Nothobranchius furzeri: one gene and its partner. The protein of the gene in region 2 purifies or fractionates together with the protein of the main gene of each other region. This does not show direct contact. Links are inferred from orthologs where the notes say so. Each region holds a gene or a part of one and is shown on either strand. Other genes may lie near its edges. The genes, in order: sytl4 and rab27b.

Evidence for each region.
Region 1: the proteins of rab27b (region 2) and sytl4 purify together in Homo sapiens (co-immunoprecipitation; 3 studies listed by BioGRID and IntAct, counting the BioPlex papers as one, with this or other methods). This does not show direct contact. The link is inferred for Nothobranchius furzeri from reciprocal best matches to the Homo sapiens genes RAB27B and SYTL4.

Annotation. Positions count from the first base shown.
Region 1 is NC_091741.1:84,928,604-84,932,426, reverse strand, and holds part of sytl4 (synaptotagmin-like protein 4), read right to left. Parts: intron 320-3,823; coding exon 210-319; intron 56-209; coding exon 1-55. UniProt on the Homo sapiens protein: Modulates exocytosis of dense-core granules and secretion of hormones in the pancreas and the pituitary. Interacts with vesicles containing negatively charged phospholipids in a Ca(2+)-independent manner.
Region 2 is NC_091746.1:72,347,735-72,351,557, reverse strand, and holds part of rab27b (ras-related protein Rab-27B), read right to left. Parts: intron 2,555-3,823; coding exon 2,466-2,554; intron 934-2,465; coding exon 830-933; intron 624-829; coding exon 500-623; intron 1-499. UniProt on the Homo sapiens protein: Small GTPase which cycles between active GTP-bound and inactive GDP-bound states. In its active state, binds to a variety of effector proteins to regulate homeostasis of late endocytic pathway, including endosomal positioning, maturation and secretion.

The DNA of each region.
Region 1 (3,823 bases), on a different chromosome or scaffold from region 2:
GTGTTATTTTCAACACTCCTCAGGAGTGTTTCTCCAATTGTCTCGCGCTTTTTTGCTATAATATTGTACATAAAGAAAAAAAAACCAAAAGATTAAGTAAAAGACACAATCAATAATGTTAAACTAAAACACTGCTGCTGTAGCTATGGGTGGGGAAAGCATTGTTTACAATCCAACAGCTGATATTAACTTCCTGTTCCTGAACTTACCTGGAGGCCGCTTTTTCAGGGAGGCCCTCACTAGGTTGTGCCCAGGAGCTCCAGAGAAACGGTTGATTCGTTGATCATAGAACCAATCGCCTGTCCTTTTCTTTATATCCCTGGAATGTACACAGATCAGTTAAGGAGTGTGATAAATTGATACTCCACATAATCATTACATCACTGATGCAGTAGATTATAATATTGCTTACAATAGAATTATTATTACTAAAGAAAAGTACAAAGCTGTGTCACTAAAGGTCAAAGGATTGTTTATACAAGTCTCATTTACTTTATTAGAATAAACAGCAATGAAACCTAATTGTCATAACATTTATGTCTTTTTACCAGGGATGCACTGATGTAAAAACGTAGACAGATATCCGATATCAAAATCACTGTTATATTAGATAACCAATATTTACTGATTTTACATTACATTACAAGAAAGCATTTAAGAAAAAAAACGATACATTGAAATACTGCAATATTTTGTGTTCAGCTACTGAATCGATATATAAAAGCAGTGAATGGATTTTTTTTATTGAGGATTTGCATACAAACATTTATTTTATTTATTTTGCAGTTCAAAGTCTGACCTCTGGGTGGCAGCAGTTTATACCACCTTCAATAAATCTACTTTCTCTAGTATGAATAAAAACCTCATGAGTCACTCAGTGGATAAAAGCTCTGGCACTTCTGTTTCAGAAAGTAGAAACTAACCGGAGGTGTGGGGGGCAGAAAACGACAGATTTGGAGTGTTACTCATTAATATTCATGTAGAAAATCTCTCCTCTGATTGGCTAATAGTGAAGCAACTCTTCTGCTGCCTCCGCTCACTCTTTTTGGATTAAAAAAGTTGATGTTTTTCCCCATTAACAACACATGTAGAGCCATTTATTTTGTGGGTTGGGCTTTCGTCTGTGGTGGTGGTGGTGTCGGGTGCGTCACATGTGATTTAAGTGGGTCCTCAGGTGTTTCGGATGAGCCGATTACGCATGGGTGGTGGGATCCATGGCACAATACATTTCTTTTTTGTGACGATCAACTGGGAGCACTACTATCCTTGGAACAGCATCATGTAAAACGCCAGCTAATGCTTGTAAAAGAAAATAACCAAGACTAACGCACAGACAAAAAGAGGTTTGATTTATGAATAGAAGCGCGTCAGAAGCCGCCTCCGCCCTCACCCAGCTGGCTGACAACAGGAAGTGTCAGCACAACACAAGTCTGAATGAGATCTGCTGTGTTGTGGAGTTGCTAATGCTAATGGTTAGCTTCTACTAGTCGATACTTGTTCTGCTCTCTCCTAGCTGCAAAACTTGACAGCCTTCCACAGCCGCAAGCCAAGGTGAGCAAGTCCATGAACACTAATTTGAGTGTGACGTAGATCTATGCAGCTTTTTCTGACCTGACAATTTCGCACTCAATTTTTATTTTGGTAGCTAATGCAGAAACTGGGGTGGAAGTATTATGGGCTCGACACACAGGAGGCGACATTGCCTCTCCATTCATTTTCAGTGAGACATGCACGACATGGCTCCCTGGAGGGCTAAGCGCAACCAGCCATTCCTCCCCATCCCCGCATATTTTTCTCCTCCTGCTCCCTCACATCATCACACAAACATGCACACAGGACCTTTGGGGGTGGACAAGTCAGGGAGTGCAGGTATGGACCCCATTTCTGCATTCCTGTGGCAACCTGCCCCCCAATTTTATTTGCACCTTAAACACTTCCACCAACGACATTCCACGCAAACACACACTAAAGCCTGGTTTATGCTTCTCCGTCAGCTGCGCAAGGGACAGACACGCATGGATTGACTGAAGCGTTTTGCTCTTTTACTTCTCAGTCTCCTGGAGAGTGTTGCAAAGCAATTGCCCGGCAGGACAACAGAGGGCATAGCGCTGTTCTGTGGTATCCTGCCATGTATTGGTCTATGATCGTGTGTTTATATTGTGTTTTTTGTGTATATAAGAGACTTTTAACACAGACATATTTGTCTCTCATTCTCCCACCTCTTCATGCGCTCCCCACCTCTAAACCCACGTTTCCTGTCATTTCCGTCCACAAATAAAACGCTTGCTGCGCATCCTTTCCAGTCTCCAGTCACGGGAGAATGAAACGTTCATATTTTTAGAGTTTTTTCGCGAGGTCTTCTTCAAGCTTCTCCGTGTCTGCCGCTAGTTATCCTCGGCTCTCTTTGCAATGGCGGCGCTGTAAACAACAGCGGCGTCCTGACCAATCACAAGCTTGCGTAATCCGTCTCGTTCGACAGATGTTTAAAAAAGTGGGCTCGACTCCGTACGTACTTGCATGCCTGCCGGAGCCCTACGCAAGGACGGATAATGGCGTTACGTGTCTCCGCACTGATGCAAACGGAGAAGCATAAATCAGGCTTTAAGGCCATGGGAGTGAGCACATTCAACGGCATTTGGCAGGGGGATTTTTCAGCCTCATCCAGAGGGCCGGTGCCCACTTCCAATTTTAAACTGCACTTAGACACTGAGGGCTGTGGGTGCAAGTGGGATGGTGTGGTGGCATCAGCTGGCATAGGCCAGACAACGCCCGCACTGCCCGCTCACCACAGCCATGGAATACACCTCATTAACACACAACACTATATTGGAGCAGGCGGAGGGAGACTAGGGGTCTTAGCACACCTCTTGTTGCTTGGCTTTCTGGGGCTGGAGGCTAGGAGGGAGATCTGGCCGTCTGGTTGGGGTCTGGGGTGGTGGGTTGCTGTGCTCAGCGTTGGGCGGGGGAGCCTGCTCATCAGCACCCCAGCAGAAAGGGTCGAACTCAGGGAACCGGTAATGGTTGTACCCCATGTGCAGCAGTACCGGGACCAGAGTGAATAGGGTGTGTATGGGGAGCATGAGTGGGTGTCCGGCGTGCATTTTTGTAAGTCTTTGGTTGTATGTGCATGTGTGAGCATGAGGGAGGGAGTGTGTGACTGTGTTTGTGTATGACTGTATATGTCAGGTGGGGCCTTTGACTCCTCCCTTCTCCTGGGACTTCTTTTGATGATATAGATCTTCGTCTCCCCTCCCCCTGCCACACCTGGTGTGAGGGGCTGTGCCTTGGTCTGCCTGAGTGTTTGTGGCAACCGGGTCAGGGGGTTTAAGATTTTGGCATCTGCCTGATCAATCCCGGTGGCTGTCTGGTGGGGTCTGGGCCCCTGGGCTCTGCTGGGTCCCAGGCGGGGGTGGTCACCCCTGGGTCCCGGGTTGTTGGGTCCCGGGCTCGGCCGGCTAGGGGGTGGGAGGCTGCGGGCGGGCCTGTGGGCTTGCCGCTGATATCTCCTGGGACTCTGCCAGCTGCTGGTTGTGGCCCCCCGGGGCGATCCTCTGTGCCTCTCGAGGGGGGCGGGGGCCTTTCTGATTGCAGTCTCCTTGGGGTTCCTGTGTTCTGGGGCAGCGCCTGGATCTCTGGGACTTGGAGCTCCCTCAGTCTCCTACACATCTTTGGGGGGCAGATCTGTGGTCTCTCACACTCTATTGGACGCTTTTATAGAGAAATCTTAAAACAAGCGCGTGTACACACACAGGTGCTATCATAAGTATGGACTTGGGCACGTTCAACACATGTCTTAAGGCTGTCGTTGCCACTAAATGCATAA
Region 2 (3,823 bases):
GCAGCTATCTTTTTCTAACAGCTATCAGTGGTAAAGGTTTAATATTTAATCAAAAGTTTTTGGTGTCTAAACGTTCAACCAGTGAACCCGCGTTAGAATAAAGTTATAAAACCAGTTTGAGGATCTAACTGGGACGAGTAGATTTGTGTGATGGAATGAGAGACTGTCAACTCATGACATCATCAGGATTATAATCACATTTGTCAGCATAACAACAACAACTCAGCTGGAGATGGAGGAATTTATAAAGGGGTGGAACAGTGGAAATCAATTTTTTATTGATTATTTCTGATTCTAACGGGTCACTCTGGGTTGTTTCATGCAGGCTGAACATGAAAATAGTCTCCTACACCTATCTGCTGCATTAGCTCCTGATAGAAAACAGACAGGATTAGATGAGCGGATCACACTGTCACCAACATTCATGGACTCACCCATGAATTAAATGACTGTTCCACATCTTTAAGCTGGAAATAAAACAAAAGGATTTTAAAGTCACCCATATTTATCAGCCAGCTCCTTGGCCTGTTTCTCCTGAACCTCCCGCTGATCAGCCAGGTCCGCCTTGTTCCCCACCAGAACAATATCCGGGTTCTCACAGTAGGCGTTGGCCTGAAGCTGACCTGAACATTAAGAAATGGTTCGTAAATAAACAAAACAGAGATATAATGAAACACTTAAATATGCATAGGATTAAAACCCACCACGCTTCATGTAAATGATCCTTTAAACAATCGTAGTTTTGTTTTTATGTAAATTGATGATAAATACTGAAAGACTTTGAGAAATGAAACAACTTTTCTGATGGAAACAGAGCAGGAGGACATACTCATCCAGTTTCTGACATTTAGAAAACTCTGCTGGCTGGTGAGATCGAACATCAGGAGGAAACCCATGGCATCCCTGAAGAACGCCGTAGTCAGGCTGCGAAACCTGACAGAAAAAAACAATTTAAGAACATGTGAGGGTTCATTTAAATCCTTTCTTATAAACCATAAAAGGCACCATTTTGACAGCAAGTCAGATCTGAGGACGTAAACAGCTGCTGCTAGATGTTACTTCCCGTAGAAAAATGAAACTTAAGATTCTTCTGTATTTTTTAAGAAACTCCTGAAGACCTGCTCTTCGGAGAGCATCTTCTAAACCAGGACCCTCCCTGCACCCGTCCCCCCTCTCTACTGTCCACTCCTTGTTCCCCTCCCTTTAGGATGGATTATGCTGCCTCACCTAGGACTGACTAGTGTTTGTTGTTAGCCTCAAGGACAACCTGCTGGCTTCATTATCACCTGTAAGTTGCTTTGGACAAACGCATCTGCTAAATACATAAACATAATTCTATAGAATTCATTCCTCTATAATTATAACCCTAACCCTAACCCTAGAAAACACTTTAAAACATGTCCATCTTACTCATGTGCCTCTCGTCCAAAACTGGTGTCAATCTTCAAAAAGAGGATTGGTGCTCATCAAATTTCTGTTATTAAATAACTAAATAATTCCTCTTAAAGAGCAAGTCACCCCCAAACCAACTTTTTTGCTGATAAACTATATAAATGTGTGTCTAATTGTGCTGCAGACACGTGAAGTCAATAGTTTGGCACTTCGATGCATCGTAGTTAAAATTTAAATATTCTGCCTAAAACTGCCAGTGTTGTGCCGTTGTCAGGTAAAAACTTTGCACTGTATTTGAATTTAAATCTGCCATCGCTATTGGCTAAGAGGTACCCTAGAACATTAGCTGGTACCATATGATGTCACAATGTTGTTGTGAGACTGTGTGTGTATGTATTTGTTAGCGGCTCCGCCCTCTCGGTCTGCTAGGCAACAGCATTTGTTGCATTTTTCAAACAGGAAGTGGGAGTGGAGAAAGATTCTGGTAGGGGGTGACTTGCTCTTTAAATAACCAAAGAATTCCATATAAATTAATAAAAATGCATCATAGTGAATAACCTGTAGCATTAAACTGACAGTTGTGTGTAAAATAACATCACAAAAACTTCTGGGAACTTGAGTAAATTGGAGTTAATTCAGGACGGCATAAACACCCAATGGTCTTCACCAAAACTAGCCGTTAGCTCATCACTCCTGATGAACATAAAGAGGAAACAGAGGCTGCTCAGGAAGATACTTAAATGTGACAAATAAACAAAACAATTGTGAATAATGTTGTTTCTGATCAAAACTAAGATAGGTAGGGGGTGACTTGCTCTTTAATTATTCGATAAACCTGCCGGAGTCTGCAAAATTGGTGGATGAGTGACGATAAACCAGTTATTTACATGAAACTCTGTTTACGAGCAAATGAATGAAACATGGCAGAATAAAAGTTTCTTAAAGAATGTCATTTAAACTCTTGAGAAGCAGACTGAAGCTGATTTAAGATGACTAGCTGTTAGCACGTCATTCCTGTAAACCCTACTTCTCCAAACAGAGGCTGTTCGGGAAGCTATCCGAGAAGGGCTCACCGTTCCTGTCCAGCCGTATCCCAGAGCTGGAGGTGAACCTTGAAGGTTTTTCCTGTTGCCGTTCCGTTTGGATTCGATGCCGTGTAAACCTAAAGAGGAGCAAATAAAAATATTAGAGCCGATCCCCGAGATTGACGGTGAACTGAAGCTCTTCCACCATCTCTGGTTCGTCTCCGCGGTGAAAAAAACATAAAGAGTGTCTCTTAATCCTCAGAAAGCCGCCAGCACAACCGAAAACTCGACGAAGATTGATGCGAGACAGAAATGGAAGTTCTCTGCGTTGGATCGCGTTACTGTCAGAGAAGGTTGTGTCTCCTGCTCAGACAGGAAAGGTCAGATCGCTGCTAAACCTATTTCCTTCACAAATACGTCAGATGTGGCATTCTCATTCCGTGACGTTGGAAATCCTTTTGTTTACTTTAGCGCTCTGTCTCTTTTTCCTGGATGCAAAGACATTTTATGTAGTTAGGCTTAACGACGTCTCAGAAACCGTCAAAGGCTCGATGTTTAGCTGCATTAATAAAACCGACCCTCCGGTCAGACGGTGGGATCAGATCCTGGAATCTAACCCGGAGAAGGAATCAGGAGGTAGATCTCCGTCTGAGGTCTATGAAGAAGCTTCGGGCGGCTTTCACACCTCTGACTCTTCATCACACTTCATCATCTGGTTTGGTTCCTCAGTGCATCCATCCATCATCCATCAGCCCACCCATCCACCCACCTGCCTACAGTTTTAGGTCTAGGTAATTGGTTCTCAATCCTGATCCTGGACGGCTGGTCTCCAGCACGTTTTAGTGGTTTCTCTGCTCCAGCACACAAGATTCAGTGGTTGAATCACCTGCAGAAGCTCACCAGGCTCTGCAGAAGCTTGTTAATCACCTGCTGATTGAAATCAGGTGTGTTGAAGCAGAGTTAAAACTAAAACATGCTGGACACCGGCCCTCTAGGACCAGGATTAAGAACCACGGGTCTAGGAGGTCGTGGAGGATCCCAAGGTGTTCCCTCATCTCTGATGTCACGTGGCCCTTGGGAGGCCGAGGCTGAGCAGGCTGCTAGGGTGAAGGATCGTTCAACAGCTTGGATCCAGGATCTGGTTCTGTGGGTTCTGATCAAGACGTCACTGCAGATGAAGCCCGGACCTGCGTCTCACCTTCATCTCCATCTCACCATCAACCAGGAAAAAAACACCAAGATTTCAGAGCTCGTCCCCGTAGGACAGCGGGTCTGTCAGCTTGTCAGGATGCATCTCCATCAGCTCTCTTCCAGAATCCAGCCTCAGGAGGAGGAGCCATTTTTATACCAAGTTCTGTCGGATGGAGCAACCCGTCTGATCCCAACAGGGAATAATAAAAGCACTT